2 linked regions of the Xenopus tropicalis genome follow. The protein of the gene in region 1 purifies or fractionates together with the protein of each later gene. This does not show direct contact. Links are inferred from orthologs where the notes say so. Each region holds a gene or a part of one and is shown on either strand. Other genes may lie near its edges.

Evidence for each region.
Region 2: the proteins of capn2 (region 1) and spata5l1 purify together in Homo sapiens (co-immunoprecipitation; 3 studies listed by BioGRID and IntAct, with this or other methods). This does not show direct contact. The link is inferred for Xenopus tropicalis from reciprocal best matches to the Homo sapiens genes CAPN2 and AFG2B.

What each region holds. Positions count from the first base shown.
Region 1 is NC_030681.2:9,038,966-9,047,558, forward strand, and holds part of capn2 (calpain-2 catalytic subunit), read right to left. Parts: intron 5,038-8,593; exon of another isoform or gene 5,024-5,037; intron 3,500-5,023; coding exon 3,381-3,499; intron 1,962-3,380; coding exon 1,828-1,961; intron 1,540-1,827; coding exon 1,371-1,539; intron 719-1,370; coding exon 635-718; intron 60-634; coding exon 1-59. UniProt on the Homo sapiens protein: Calcium-regulated non-lysosomal thiol-protease which catalyzes limited proteolysis of substrates involved in cytoskeletal remodeling and signal transduction. Proteolytically cleaves MYOC at 'Arg-226'.
Region 2 is NC_030679.2:104,565,674-104,574,366, reverse strand, and holds the start of spata5l1 (spermatogenesis-associated protein 5-like protein 1), read right to left. Parts: upstream 4,377-8,693; 5' UTR 4,366-4,376; intron 4,235-4,365; coding exon of another isoform or gene 4,210-4,234; coding exon 3,142-4,209; intron 748-3,141; coding exon 562-747; intron 348-561; coding exon 189-347; intron 1-188. UniProt on the Homo sapiens protein: ATP-dependent chaperone part of the 55LCC heterohexameric ATPase complex which is chromatin-associated and promotes replisome proteostasis to maintain replication fork progression and genome stability.

The sequences.
Region 1 (8,593 bases):
ACTTCCCCCCAGGGATTTCTGATTCTGATCAGCTTTTCCAGGTTCCCTCGATATTGCACCTTGGAGAGGAAAGAACATTAACTCATAGAGAACTGCATCATTAGGTTGAATATATGGGTCAGTTACAGTGGATAAATAAAATATTTCAGCAACAGGAACAAATAGACGGTTGAGATCAGCACAACAGTAGAAGATGGGGGATTGGGAAGTGGGTCAGTCCAGCCCAATAGCTAGCTGACGTTACCCATATTAGGGCCACAAACAACAATGGTCATGTGACTCTAGGTCAACGCCCAACGGCAATAGAATTCCATCGCTATAAAGTGACCATAAGTTTTTGAACAAGCAGAAAATCCAAGGCTATTGTGATACTAATATCTACAGTTAGTATTAATGTGTGTATATATAGTTTATGTATGTGAGTGTATAGATTGGTTAGTATAGGGTGTGGGTGCTGGGTTTACTTGGAAGGGTTGAACTTGATGGACTCTGGTCTTTTTTCCACCCTATGTAACTATGTAACCATACCCTCCATAAAATACGTAGTTATGTGTTGGTAAAGCATATGTACCCAGCAACTACTTCCATTTACTCATATTCCATAGGAGGAGCAGAAATAACGGTGGACACCAACCTCTTCTGCTGCAGTCACAGAGTAGGCATGGCCCTTCACGAGCTTCTGGAATGTGATGGCTTCTGTCTCCGCTGCACTTGTGATCTGAAAGAATTACAAAAATGCAAACAAATGATATTATTTCGCTTTTGATTGTTGGAGAATGCGCACAGTGATTTGGGATTCTCTAGGCATATATATCAGTTTGGGAAGGGGGTGAGTAATAAGTAATCACTTAAAAATACTATGATTTGGGGGATAAAGACAAAGTAAATACGGTACATGTGGGAGATGTTCATGGGGGTTTAGCGGTACCAGGAATCTGGGCATTAAAGCTATCTTGGGGGGGCCAAATATGGGCTCTAGCAGCAGTTATAGTATGAGGAGTGGATGACATCAGTTATTACAGAGTAAGATGGAAACCACAGGGAAGACGGGGATAGGAACTTGTTATATCAGGGTTGCCACTTTTTCTTATAGTGGCCTTTCTATATTTTTATGTTTTTCCCTATTAATAACATTGGTATCAAGCATCAATTTACCAGCCAGCTGGCAACCTCTGCCTGTGGTACTAGGGACACAAAGGCCTTAACAGATCCCTAGGCAGCCATTTTTGGTACATTAAGTTCAAACCATGGATTCCACCCAGAGCATTATTATTAAGACATGAACGCTAGGGCAAGGAATCCAGACTGAAGGCTTTAGCCATCTATTCCAGGATCTACTGAACACAAAGAATAAAAGAAGTGACACGCACATCTATAGAGCAGCCCAGCAGAGATCCAGTCCTCAGAGCTTTCTGGATAATCTTGAACAGATTGGGTGGGGCCTTCCTCAGTTCATACCACTCTGCAAGTCCACCTGTGAAATCTTCAAACCCTTCGGTGGTGGTCCCACCCGAGAGAGCTTCATAGGATCCGTTCAGTCTACGTGACAGCAAAATACAGGATTAAGGACTGAGTTGGTTGGCCACTGCACCCCCCCAATGTCCAATCAAATATTTCCCTTCATTACAGTAAATGCTCTAGAAAAGTCAATGTTAATTGATAATTGGTTGTTGTGCAGTGGTTCATAATCCATCACAGTGATCTGTACGAAAGCTCTGCTGTGTTGGCTATTCAGTTAGAGCCAAAGGGATATCTATATCATTAAATTTAATCATAGCTAACCTTCAGGATTGACTTCCAGCAAAAGTCCTTTTGTATTGTACTTACTTGGCATAAGCCTTCTCCATGAGTGCGCTCCAGAACTCACTCCCCTCCGCTGAATGCACAAAAAGCAGCTTCCCATCCTTGGTTGGCAGACGATCATCAATGACAACATCCACCCACTCACCGTACTGCCAGAACTGAAAATAAATGAGGTGGAGTAATATTTACAGTCCAGCCACCAGGAGGCGCTGTGTAGAATTCCCTCTCTCCCTTTACTAAATGACCACCAGGAGGCGCTGTGTAGAATACCCTATCTCCCTTCCCTTTACTAAATGACCACCAGGAGGCGCTGTGTAGAATACCCTATCTCCCTTCCCTTTACTAAATGGCCACCAGGAGGCGCTGTGTAGAATTCCCTCTCTCCCTTCCCTTTACTAAATGGCCACCAGGAGGCGCTGTGTAGAATACCCTATCTCCCTTCCCTTTACTAAATGGCCACCAGGAGGCGCTGTGTAGAATTCCCTCTCTCCCTTCCCTTTACTAAATGGCCACCAGGAGGCGCTGTGTAGAATACCCTATCTCCCTTCCCTTTACTAAATGGCCACCAGGAGGCGCTGTGTAGAATTCCCTCTCTCCCTTTACTAAATGACCACCAGGAGGCGCTGTGTAGAATTCCCTCTCTCCCTTCCCTTTACTAAATGGCCACCAGGAGGCGCTGTGTAGAATACCCTATCTCCCTTCCCTTTACTAAATGGCCACCAGGAGGCGCTGTGTAGAATTCCCTCTCTCCCTTCCCTTTACTAAATGGCCACCAGGAGGCGCTGTGTAGAATACCCTATCTCCCTTCCCTTTACTAAATGGCCACCAGGAGGCGCTGTGTAGAATTCCCTCTCTCCCTTTACTAAATGACCACCAGGAGGCGCTGTGTAGAATTCCCTCTCTCCCTTCCCTTTACTAAATGGCCACCAGGAGGCGCTGTGTAGAATACCCTCTCTCCCTTCCCTTTACTAAATGGCCACCAGGAGGCGCTGTGTAGAATACCCTCTGTCCCTTCCATTTACTAAATGGCCACCAGGAGGCGCTGTGTAGAATTCCCTCTCTCCCTTCCCTTTACTAAATGGCCACCAGGAGGCGCTGTGTAGAATACCCTCTGTCCCTTCCATTTACTAAATGGCCACCAGGAGGCGCTGTGTAGAATTCCCTCTCTCCCTTCCCTTTACTAAATGGCCACCAGGAGGCGCTGTGTAGAATACCCTCTCTCCCTTCCCTTTACTAAATAGCCACCAGGAGGCGCTGTGTAGAATACACTCTCTCCCTTCTCTTTACTAAATAGCCACCAGGAGGCGCTGTGTAGAATACCCTCTCTCCCTTGCCTTTACTAAATAGCCACCAGGAGGCGCTGTGTAGAATTCCCTCTCTCCCTTCCCTTTACTAAAAGGAGATCTTCGGCACCCAATTGTTCCAATCACAACACACACACAGAACCCAATCAGCCACGTCTCTTTGCATGAAAACAACAATGAACTGATTTCCCTGCTGAATTTCCATTGCAAATGAATAGGTCCAGCCGGTGGATTCCCCCCAAAGATATGAAATTTTGGAGGCAGAACAATTACCTGGAAGTGGAATATTCCGGCATAGTTCTCTTGGAAGCTCTGATCCTTTGGAACAACCCGGGACAGAATCTGCTCATTCAGGGTGAGGGAGGCAATGGCCGCAAGTAACCAGCAGTCACCTGGGGAAACACAGAGGGAGTCAGTGTCTGTGGGGCTGTGTGTGTACTCAGTCTGCTCGGCTGGAACTCAGCAATGGGCTGGGGGGGGGGGGGGGGCATCATGGGATTTTCCTGTATACGGTTATGGCAGGAATAAACAGTCTCAGGCAGTTTTCCATAAAACAAATCTGAAAAATATTCTGTCCTACTGGGAAGCTGCAAATGTGCTTTGCTCTGCAATAATATGGCATAAATGCACCGACTTCATGCCATCCGCAGGGTATTTCCAGATAACAAATCCTATACCTGTATACACAGGGATCAGCAAACAGGTATAGGATTCGTTAACCCATTATCCAAAAAGCTCTGAATTACAGGAAGGCCGTCTCCCACAGACTTAATTTTAATCAAATAATTCACATTTTTAAATTTGATTTCCTTGTACTTGATCCCAACTAAGATATAATTACCCCTTATTGGGGCAGAACAGCCCTATTGGGTTTATTTAATGGTTAAATGATTCCCTTTTCTCTGTAATAATAAAACAGTACCTGTACTTGATCCCAACTAAGATATAATTACCCCTTATTGGGGCAGAACAGCCCTATTGGGTTTATTTAATGGTTAAATGATTCCCTTTTCTCTGTAATAATAAAACAGTACCTGTACTTGATCCCAACTAAGATATAATTACCCCTTATTGGGGCAGAACAGCCCTATTGGGTTTATTTAATGGTTAAATGATTCCCTTTTCTCTGTAATAATAAAACAGTACCTGTACTTGATCCCAACTAAGATATAATTACCCCTTATTGGGGCAGAACAGCCCTATTGGGTTTATTTCATGGTTAAATGATTCCCTTTTCTCTGTAATAATAAAACAGTACCTGTACTTGATCCCAACTAAGATATAATTACCCCTTATTGGGGCAGAACAGCCCTATTGGGTTTATTTCATGGTTAAATGATTCCTTTTTCTCTGTAATAATAAAACAGTACCTGTACTTGATCCCAACTAAGATATAATTACCCCTTATTGGGGCAGAACAGCCCTATTGGGTTTATTTAATGGTTAAATGATTCCATGGTAACTCTGGTTTGATTGAAAGGGAAAACTCTATATTAAAGGGCACATATACCATCCCACCATGATTTTTGGGGGGGGGGGGGGTCTGTGTAGGAATTAACCCCTAAACTCCTTCTCTGTAGGGATCCTCAGTATCTACAGAAGGTCTTAAAAGGCTATAATGCATTTTGCTCAGCTGAAGGCGCCAGATCCCCTTTGGCTCCCAATATTCGCGTGAGTGATGCCTGGAACTTTAAGCCCAGAGGCGTTTGCAGTCTGATATCCATTAAGTATTTGTGCACAAACCCACACCCACACCTACACCCACACCTACACCGGGCTCGATCCCATCACCTGCAGTGTGGGAGGAAACCTGAGCACCCAAGGGACCGGGGCCATTTGTAACCCAATACTAAAAATAAAGCTGCTCTGAGCCTGGGAGTGGCCCTGTGGGGCAGGTGGGGGCCTACAATTACCAGTTCTTCACATAACAAATAATAATGACATTATTACCCTGAGCCATTCCAACAAAGACCAATTATATCTCTTTATTGCTCCCTTTTAAAGGATCAATAGACGACTAACAACAAAAAAATGCTACAGGATTGTTCAGCCATTAACATGGATTTAAGCGGCTTATTTACCCTTGAGTACAAGGTACTGGCCCGACTCGCATTGTTACAGAGAGAAGGAAATGGGTCACAAACGGAGAGAGGTTGTGGGGAGACAATGGCACTTTATGGTGCTGAAGATTCTACTAGGGGTGAAATGAAAGGGTTAAATAGGACACAATAAGTAAAGACACTGTCGTATTTTGGAGCTTTCTGGATAATGGATTTCTGAATCATATCTCCTGCATCCCTTCACTTGTTGTCCCCAGTCACCTGGAATGTATACTCAGTCACAGTCTGTGTCTCGGGTTTTGAGATAAGGAGGGGTTCATTATCTAGATGCATTATCTATAGCAGTGATTCATTAGACCAAGTCTTTAGGAGATGAAGCGTCCAATGACGTGAAACTTATTTGGAGGGAGGAGCCATACACAGGCCGATTGTAGCTGCTGATATCGGTCCCTAAAGGTCCCCATACACGGGCCAACTCTAGCTGCTATCGGTCCCTAAAGGTCCCCATACACGGGCCAACTCTAGCTGCTATCGGTCCCTAAAGGTCCCCATACACGGGCCAACTCTAGCTGCTGATATCGGTCCCTAAAGGTCCCCATACACGGGTTGATTTTAGCTGTTGATATTGGTCCCTAAAGGTCCCCATACACGGGTTGATTTTAGCTGTTGATATTGGTCCCTAAAGGTCCCCATACACGGGTTGATTTTAGCTGTTGATATTGGTCCCTAAAGGTCCCCATACACGGGCCGATTCTAGCTGCTGCTATCGGTCCCTAAAGGTCCCCATACACGGGCCGATTCTAGCTGCTGCTATCGGTCCCTAAAGGTCCCCATACACGGGCCGATTCTAGCTGCTGATATCGGTCCCTAAAGGTCCCCATACACGGGCCGATTCTAGCTGCTGCTATCGGTCCCTAAAGGTCCCCATACACGGGCCGATTCTAGCTGCTGATATCGGTCCCTAAAGGTCCCTATACACAGGCCGATTCTAGCTGCTGATATCGGTCCCTAAAGGTCCCCATACATGGGCCAATTCTAGCTGCTGATATTGGTCCCTAAAGGTCCCCATACACGGGCCGATTCTAGCTGCTGATATGGGTCCCTTAGACCAAATCAGCAGCTAGTGCCCGTGTATGGGCACTACCGACGGGCCTGTCTGACCTATATCTAGTCTGAAATCGGCCAGATCTCAATCGGGCAGGTTAGAAAATCTAGTCAGATTGGGACCCCATTGTCTCGTTGATATCCGGATATCGGGTGAAGATCTGCTCGCTTGGCGATCTGGCAATCTCGACCCGACCAACATCTGACCTGAAATTGGGCAGATATCGATCGGGCAGGTTAAAAAATTTAGTCGGATCGGGGACCGCATCAGCTCGTTGATGGGGTCCCCAAACTGACTGCTCCTATTACTGGCGTTCTAATTCGATCGTTTGGCCCCAGGGCCATTAGCCTGAATTCACCCGATATCGCCCACCCGTAGGTGGGGATATCGAGAGAAGATCCGCTCGCTTGGCAACCTCGTGTATGGCCACCTTAAGGTACCTCTGGCCTTTTGAATACATTTATGATTGTTTTGTGCACCAAATAAATATTGTGTGTTACAATAGGGCTTGTCTAGGGGGTGATAATTGAATTTAGGGCTGACTCCATACAACACAACCACAAAAATAAGGATCTTTTGTTTGTGCTTTGGGACAGAAATTCACAGCATTCTTTGTTTTGTTTCTGTGCATATGGAATGATCACTCCAACGTTATGTCATTACACTAATTGGTACAAGGGAAACAAGGCACTCTCCAAGCACAGTTTCTCCTTGGTGTCCTGCCAAAGGCAGCTGATAGTACTAAAGGCAAAGCACCGGGAATGGCAAAACCTCAAAGGAATGTTAATGAAAACATTACATGGCACTAATACACTATGATGGCGCAGCACTGCGACTCCCAGAGGGGGTTAGAATGCAGACTGTACTGCAGCAGCAGTGATGGGGGGGAGATATAGAGCAGGCTGGGGGCTGTGCCATGCACTGCAGGGGTCAATGCTAAGGAAAGGAAGATACTAGGGAGGCTAGGGTGTGTGCCCTGTAATGATGGGAGCAATACTAAGGATATCCTGAGGGTAAGAACCCATGGAGCAGTTCAGTCGCCCGTGATAGATCTCAACAAAACAACGCAAAGGGCTTTCCACCGGCGCCTCCTATTGTTGCCGGTGGAAAACCATTTCAGAGTGGTTAGTTGCCAGCAATAACAGAGATCTATTGGGGGCGACTGAACCGCTCCGTGGGTTCTTGACCTAAAGGAGGCCATACAGGGACAGGTTTCAGCTGATGATTTGGGTCCTCCAGACTGATTCGGTAGCTTATCTGCCCGTGTATAGGAAGCCCCGATGGGCCTACTTGATCAATATCTGGAGGAAAATTGGGCAAATCTCAATCAGGATTCAGGCAGGTTTGATTTTCCGCGTCAAGGAGCTGATATGGTCGGTCCTTGGTCTGTCGGCCCATATACCCGCTGTGTTAATTTGACTGTAAGTGGGCATATCAGGAGACAATCCGCTTGTTTGGTGACTTTGCCAAATGAGCGGATGGCCACCTTCAGAATCAGAAATCAGGTTGGTGTAAGCTTCACCAATCTTCTACAACCATTTGCATGCAGAGGGACAATGGTCCACTACCGCCACTACCACTATGTTTGGGCAAGAAAAGAAATTATTAAACCATACAAAAAGCTGTACCTGTAGCAGGTTGGGGACCACAAATATCTTAGTGCATTTGGTAGCCCTCCAGTTGGGGAGCTATGAGTGCTTTAATAATGGTTATGACACACAGTGAGATACGCAATCTCCTTCATGTGTATAAATACCCTGCAGTGTAGTGACCCAGGCGCTGACCTGCAACTAGTGGGACCTGAAAGTTTACCCTTACTTGGGTTAGGGTTGGAATTTAGGTGACCATTGTGGGTCAGGCTTGGGGGTGGGTCAGACTGGGGAAGTACACTCTTCTGCTCCCAAAGTTTCCCTGTCTTGGAACCTAAGGTGTGCGCAGAAGTAGCCCATAAAGGGAAAGATGCAAGTACAGGTTGGGTGCGGGTCCTACAATTGCAACATTTTGCATTTTATCCTGACCCAAGCATACAACTGCAGCAGATGGTGTGCTGGCTGCTATAATCCAGGCTGTGTGAGTGCTCTGCTTTCCTACTGCGGAAGTGAAGGGAACCCAGGAGATTCATTACTTGAACCAAAGCCATGAATCAATGCTGAGAAACAGGATAATAACGTTTCTGCCAAGTTACCTGTAAATACAGACACACCCAGTGGCATCTGGAGAAGAGCTCTGTATTGGTTTTTCCCAGCTAGGACAACTAAAGCCTAAAAACAATCATTGCTGAATTTTATATCCTGTCCTTATGGTGCCAGCCCAGAGGTTCA
Region 2 (8,693 bases), on another chromosome or scaffold:
AAGATGTGCTTACCTGTGGGTTGCCTGCGATTAAGAATGGGATACAATAAACATTAAATATAAGGGGTATTTTCCTTTTTTTTTTCCCTAGTATTATTTCAAACATTATTCCCAAAGTATTTGCTCAATTCTAGGTATCATAGTCCACAGTAGCTACAATGGAATGATCTCCTTGCTCCCATAATAACCTGTCTTAGCTTGTGCTTGATATCTTCAAGACCTCCAATATGCTCCCAATGAACTGGCTTAAACTCCACCCGACCAATTGAGCTTCGTGCGGAAGAGGGTCGAATCCTTTTAAATGCTTCATAAAAATGTGCTCTGCTCACTAAATTACACAGACTGTCCTGAAAGGCAAGGAAACAATGTTAGGATTCTAATGCTACCAAGGGTTAGAGTTATATTTCAATAACAGAAAACAAGAAGCACAATGCTTTAAATGAGTGTTGGCTTACATTACCTATAATATAGGACATTTGATCTGAATATAAGGCTCTGGATTCTGCTCAGGTAGTAAATGATTTTACTTCTAATTACAATAAATCTACTACAACATCTTACCAAACTGGCCTGAAGTACAGCCTGCATAGCTGCATCTCTGCACAGGGCAGTGAGATCGGCACCAACATATCCCACTGTCACATCTGCCAAGGCTGCCGCATCTACATCTCTATCAGTGGGCATGTTTGATATCATCATTTCCAGAATAGCTTGCCGTTGCTTATGAGTAGGAGTTCCAATGATTACCTTAAAAATATCAGAAAAACAGATGTTCATGATACCATCAAAGACTTTTGCATTATATAATAGAAAGAGGTCAGATGATTAATTTGGCAATAACATTTGCTCATGCTGTTCAGCTCTCAGCATTTTACTGTGTGAAATAATTCACTAATAATACATTATGTATTACTCCTCCCCAATTTAATTCATGTTTGAGCAGTTACATTCATAATTGATATCCCAATAGAAAAACCTTGCACTACAGTTTAAATACAGGGTGCTCAGTATGTATATTTGGAGTAAAGTAAATAGTGTTAAAGACACAAAAAGAAACTGGCACACCTGTTAGATTCAATAAAATATAACCATTCCTATTATCTTAAAATAAACATAGCTAAAAAAAGATAGAAAAGATAAGAAGGAAAGTTAAAAAATCGAATTCACACCCTGAATCTCAATCAAATGTAACTGACTCACTCGTGGATACTATTACTTAAATTGTTTCTTTAGTATCACCAATGACTTGTGTTGGCAACATATGTAACAACTCTTACTGTGGGTGCGTTAGTTATGCACATGTTACATATGTTGCCAACACAAGTCATTGGTGATACTAAAGAAACAATTTAAGTAATAGTATCCACGAGTGAGTCAGTTACATTTGATTGAGATTCAGGGTGTGAATTCGATTTTTTAACTTTCCTTCTTATCTTTTCTATCTTTTTTTAGCGATGTTTATTTTAAGATAATAGGAATAAAGGCTTTTGTGTCTTTAACACTATTTACTTTACATTCATAATTGATATCACATACTATCCAATAGACAACTTTTAGTGATAGAAATAGGCATTAATTGTGGTATGCTTAAAGGACAAGGAAAGTCAAAATCTATTAAGCACACTATTAAATAGTACTACTATTGCTGTGTAAAAATGCTATATTTCTGGCTTGCCTAATGAAAGATTTACAGAGATACATTTACTAGAACCTACACACTTGTTTCAGTGAACGGCGCCGCCATCTTGTCCAGCATGTCACAGAGTGTCCTGCCACATCCCCCCCCCCCCAGCATGTCACAGATCAACACACAGAGCTTCCACTGCCGGCAGCACCCCCCCCCCTTCCCCCGCTGCTGCCACCGCTCGGCACTGTCACGAGGAGAAACAGATCGACACTGCTGGCAGCACCCCCCGACCCCCCCCACCCCGCTCGGCATTGTCAGGAGGAGAAACAGATCAACACTGCCAGCAGCAACCCCCCCCCGCCCCTGCCGCCGCCGCTCGGCACTAGGAGGAAAAGATACAGATGGAATACAGCATGTGCCATACAGCACTGTTACATACAGCACTCACCCACCAACCTTCCGCTTCGCTCCAAGCTCCTGCCACAAACCGTCCTTCGCTCCCCACACCTGTCCCTGCCCCCGCTCCCCTCCACAGCGTTCACCACCGCCATGGCGACCAGACGCTCCTGCTGTGTGCGCATGCGCCGCCTACAGTAGAAAGTCTAGGAAAGGAGCGATGCATTATGGGAATCTTCTCTACCCTGCTCAGCGTTTTATTTTCCTGTTTGGCTTCTGATCTTCTGAACAGATGAAGTATGGGGAGACTTAAGGGCACTATTGAGACAACTGAAGGTATGCCTGCAGCTTGAGATTAACTCTTTATTAGCCTTTCCTTCTCCTTTAAGTGATAATTCTAACATTAATAAAGCAACTTAAGTAGTGTGACTTTTCTAACAGGCAAAAACATATATGTAAGCCAAAAAATGATTGGTTGCAGATTAGCATTTTTTTCAAATGGATGCTCAAATGCAATAAATAAACAAAAAAAACTATACCCCTGAACAATGTAGGTCTCTGTAAAATTATAGTGCATATAATAGCCCATATGTAAAACACTGCTTAATTTTAATAAAAACATCCTTTTCTAGCAGTATTTGCCACTGAATAAACCTAAGTAGAAATTGACATTTGTTAATGCTAAGGACCTTCCCCCTGGCTCATACAATTCACTGGGTCACAAAAACACCAAGGGCATACATGCTAGAGACGCTAGGTTATGCTGGGGACCGAAACGTTACGTCGGCTGTTTATGCTACTTTAAATATATGTTTTGATTTTTTCACAAGAAATCCCAGAGTTGCTGGTCTTTTTTATTTTCTCTCTCTCCCTCTCTCTCGTAAGTAAAACAGACAATAGCAGAGGTAACCCAAGTATATATATATATATATTACAAAGAGAATAGCTTAGGCTACTGAGGTTACATGCTAAATACATATAATGATGTCTTTTTGAAATGTGGTGAAGTCCCAGGTCTTATCCTACTCATGAGATCTCTCACATTATCTGTCAGATGCCAACAGCTTATTTTGTGGGGCTGTTAAAGGAGACAAAAGAAAAATTATTTTTATATTTACCTCCCTGTCAAATCTGCCTGGTCTTCTTAATGCTGGATCAATGGCATCAGGCCTGCTTGTTGCAGCTACAGTAACCATCTTATTGTCACTGTCAATACCATCCATTAGAGTTAACAGCTGAGCAACAACGCGGTTTTCGGGAGCACTGTTTGAATGGCCACGTTTAGGACATAAGGCATCAACTTCATCTATAAAGAGCAGAGCTGGGCCACTACATGCAGCTTCTCTTGCTTTTTCAAAAATCTTCCGTAAATTCTCTTCGCTTTCTCCAGGTCTTGAGCCGTGAATTGCGGGACCACTCAGGCCAATTACATACGCCCCGACTTCTCTAGCTACAGCCTTTACCAAAAGGGTCTTTCCAACCCCTGGGGGCCCAATCAAGAGAACACCTTTCGGGCAAGGGAGGCCAAGTTTGTGCATGGTCTCTGGATAATGTAACGGCATATGAATTATTTCCTTTAGTGAGGCACACGTGTCATCCATAGCCGCAACCTTTAATTGAGGGGCCTCCTGTAACTTATGTTTGTACCATTCAAGGGTGATGACTTCTTTAATGACTATGCTTGTTTTGCCTGTAATAAGGCCGGCATTGCTTGTTGCAGGATCTGTATCAAGTATTTCAATGTGAACAACTGGGGAATCTGCATTTACAGATAACACATAATCATTCAGCACAAAAACGTTTCTTAGTAGATCTCTGACAGTCTCAAGGAGTGCTGCTTCTGAGGTAGCCCGCTTCACATCTAGGCTTCTCACTACAACTTTCACTGAGACCTTTCTGAGTTTGGTAGAAGCCATGGATTTTATCTGATTTAAACATATGCCGGTGTCCTTAAATACAGCCATGGGTTTATGTGAAGTCGAGCACATATAATCAGCTTGCACAAAGCCATCGCACAGATCTCTCCTGGGCCAAGCAGTGCACAAGCAGCTTCCACTCTGCAAGGAGACAAGAACCGGGAATCCGACTTTTGCTCCAATCAAAGCCATCGCTTTGGGACCAAGTCTGCATCGTTGTGAGCAATGGTCGTCTGGGTTGGAGGGTAGACATTTTAGAACCGTATCCATCAATGAAGAATCCTGACGATAACATCTAAAAAAAACGTATTAATTATTGAAACATGGTTTCCATGACAAAACACTGTATGCATTAATATTCGGGGGGAGTTCAAACTTCACCCTCTAATACAAGAATATGCACAGTGCCCAAGAATTGCGCTTTACCTAACACACACCGCAAACTCAGAGCGCTACTCCTGCCTTCGGAAAAGTTAACAGCAAGTCTCATGCTTCTGTCAGAAAATCCCGACTGCGCAAGTCTCATCTCGCGAGATTTGGCGTTAAGACTGAAGAGCGGAGACGACGTAACGGCGTTACGCAATTAGAAGTGTCTAGTATGCGGCGTTGAGTCTGCTTACAAAAAAAAATCTTGGTTGCACCTCATAGAGGAAAAAAAAAGAAAGAGCGAAAAAAGAATTTTTGTGTTGGTTGTGCCCTCCGCTATCACAGCTCCCCAAAATTTCTCAGAAGCCTTATAATTTCTGCTCAGCTTCCATCTGTGGCAGGGAACTGAAAACAATACATATTTTCTCTTTTAGTGCAACCAAGGCCCAGGTGAAGTTTTCTTCACCAGGTATTTTGCCATAAAAAAGTCCATGGACTCCAATGGCAGCAAAAATTAGTTTTACAAAGAAAGCCTACTAATTACGATTTGTGTATTTTTGGCAAAACAAAAAAGGTTAGAATTGCCTGTCACTAGTCATCTTTAAAGTGTTTTTGTACTTTAAAGTATAGAGCTGTCAACTCCCCTATTTCTCCCCTGGTCCCCCAGCCAGCAGCATTTTCCCTTCTGGTTTTTCAAGGATTAAAATTTAACAATTCTTGTTTCCACAGCATAAATCAGTGATCCCCATCAGTGGTTCGTGAGCAACATGTTTCTCCCCAGCCCCTTGGATGTTTCTCCCAGTGGCCTCAAAGCAGGTGCTTATTTTTTAATTTCTGGCTTGGAGGCAACTGTTGATTGCATAAAACCCAAACAGAGCCTTCTGCAGGTTGCCAGTCCACATAGGGGCTACCAAATAGCCAATTATAGCTCTTATTTGCACCCCAGGAACTTTTTCCCTGCTTGTGTTGTTCCCCAGCACTTTTTCCATTTGAATGTGACTCACAGATATAAAAGGTTGGGGATCCCTGGCATAAATCCAGGGGTATATTTATCAAAGAGTGAAATTAGAGCTTGCTACAGTCCTCTAGAGTGAAATTCCTCCACTCTAATCATTTCTATGGTATTTTTAAATGCATGTTTATCAAAAGGTGAACTTTCACCTTTATTTATTGATAAATACTCTGAAAAATCCCAAAGAAATAAATGGAAGGTGGCGGAATTTCACTCTGGCAGACTGCAACACGCTCTTTTACTCTTTGATAAATATATCCCCAAGTATTTAAACAAAAGTTGAAAATATTTGCGGAGAACACTGCCAGGTGCAGGCTGCCAGGTAGGCTGAGAAGAAACAGATGAGATATTCTGAGCATTTCCAGTGACATCTATCGTCAGATAAGCTGTTTTTGCCTTATTATGAAAGTGATGTGAACTCCCTGGAAACCAGCTTCCTGCAACAGGAACTATTCAGAGAACCATAAATGTCTCGAGGGGAGTGCATTCCAGGACACGCAAATATGGCGTTCTCCTGAATGTCACTCCATTTTTAGATACAAAAAGATCCTTTCTTTTTCTGTGTTTAGATGGTAGTGTGCATAATACATACCTATTCAGTGTGACAACTCTCAGTCAGAGCAGCAATCAATTTGTTCCAGATGGATTACCTAGGACAGAAAGTATTGTGAAAGCAAAGGCAAATGTTGTAATTAAAACTTATGGAAAAACAGATGTCTGTTGGAAGGTCCAAGGTTTGAAAGATGTTTGTAGGAAGGTTCAACAATGTCACTTGTCAAGAGCAATTTGGTGACAGCCACCATGCAAATTATAGTGAAAAAAATATAAAATAATTGTTCATCATTGTCTTCGGGTCAATAAATCTGGACACTTTAAAGCACATTTATTTAAAATCTTGTCACAATATTTTTTTTCTGATATAATCATGATTTATCTTTATTGTGACATTTGCAATACCAATACCTAATTTATCTGACTCCCTTATTGAAAGGAACAGTAACACCAAAATGAGTGTTTTAAAGTAATTAAAATATAATGTACTGTTGCCTTGCACTAGTAACACTACTATAGTAAATATGATTAAGCTGCTGTGTAGCCATGGGGACAGCCATTCCAGCTGGAAAAAAGGAGAAAAGGCACAGGTCATATAGGCGATAACATAACCTAAGATAACATAGCTTGTGATTCTATTCACTAGAGGGGTGCTTAACATTTTGCAACTCCCCAAAGTAAGTAGGGGGTTTCTTGTCCTTTAATAAATGTGCTCCCTTTTATAGTGTTAAATATTCCACAAGTCTGAATTATCAAATGAGAGACAAATTAGACCATCTTCCATTCAGCCCTGGCCATGCCCAGTTACATCCTGACAAAATTAATGAAAAACAAAAACCACTAAAACACAATTCATAGTGGGTAACTCACCAGTATTATAACGTGGTCTAGATGCTCCAACCCCAGACCCTCAGCTTAGGGGACTGTAAAGATGCAAAAAGGAATAGTTATAATGAAGATCCATAAAACAGGCCATCAAAAAGTAAAAGTGAAAAGAATAACCCTTTATTTATACCACGTAGGCTAAACATGTACAAAACAGGATACACATATTAAGGTACAAGAAAATAAAATATGCTCAAGTCAATAAAAAATATTCTTCTTTCTCATACGTTTATACTCAATGAAGAATTTAATAGAAGTGCACGTGAAGCAAATTCTTGCAATTCTTGGTTATAAATAGGGTACGCTGTTCCTTTAAACAGCACCCATTGGTGCTTCCTCCTTTAAATATTGGGATTGTTTGTACATGTTTAGCCTATGACTAAGTGTCCTGTAGGTATGAAAAGTTTGCCTAACTCATTTTTATGAATTTATATGCATTTTTTAAACACAGATAGTTGTGTTTTTGTCATTTCCAAATGCAACCCTCTATTCTACTAAACCCTGAACATGCGTCAAGCAAATGCAGCATGTTGCTTCTAAAAAAAGTGATGAAATGCGAATGCAGAAAACACAACTAAACACGTGGGAGTACAACATAAAAGAAAATAAACATGTGGGTACAAGCCCTTACACAACAGAATTGGGTTGAATTGCAAAGTACAGCACTGCAGTGAGTAAAATAATTCTCTGTTTAGTAACTGAAGCTCCTCATGGAGCTGAAATAACTTTAACTAAATACTTTCTGTTGTCTCTTACAAGGGTTTGTAGGTATGCGTGCTGTTCCCTGCCATCTCTGTGATATTTCAAAGTTATGAAATGAACTGGCTTATTGTCTTACCATGGCACTCCATTAGCCACTACTAAAACTATTAACTGTCCAGTTCAAAAAGGTAATTTTGGTTATACATACGGGCAAAGTTTGCCCGGTTGTTTTTATTTAGTATTATAAGTGCCCTGCAGGGCAAATCTCCTTACTTGTGCCGAACAGCAATAAAATCATTGCATTCAATGCATGCCCCACACATTTTAGGCTTGCTGTTTTGTATCTTAGAACCTGTCTGTCATGCCAAGGGTGAGTGCAGCTGGGGGCACTTTGTATACTGTAAGCTGTGTTTCCTGCTATTTAACACTAGAGGGCAACAATGTCCTGTCAAAATTACATATTTTTACTTATACACTGTCAGCCAAAACCTTGCATGTAAAAAGGACCATGGTGTACTTCAGCCTAGTCTATTATTCTACTTGTTTCTTATTAAAAGCTCTATATTGCCACTGGGGGGATGTTGATAAAAGTAGAAAGAAATATGATATGGTGTAGTGTTTTATACAGTATATATTAGTTATCAAATCTTGGAATGCAAAACAGCAGCTCTCTGTCTGACTCGATAAATTTAGGCACAGGGGCAGCATCGGAAAGGCCAACTCAGGACGGGCCAGAATCATCCCTGCAAAACAGATACGCAGAGTTTAGACTCTATAACTGCCACTGTTATGTTTAATAAAAAATGAATATTAAATAGATGAAAATATTGAAATCTTATTTTCCTTTCAATAAAAACTGTAAAGCAGTACTTACCAAACCCCGGGTGAATTCATAATACTGTTTAATCTCGAATTAACTGTGCGCTTACTGATTCCAGCTATAAGAGTTGATTTGATAATTGTGGCAGTGCCTTGCTGGCATAGAGATGGTTGCCAGGAATTAAAACTTCCAGACTTGGTTGCCATTCAACAAAGAATTAGAGGTATGTGGTGCCAGCTGCCTAAGAGCACTAATTCCCATGTGTAACAAGCACTGTCAGCTTGGAACTGGTTGGTTGATGCTGTGCCAAGAGTTTCTCCAGATATTTCTTTGTCAAAGGCATGAAAGTTCATTTCAGGAAGACTATTATTCCCAGAGTAAGCTGTGAGCTGTTATTATAGCTCCCCATATACAGTG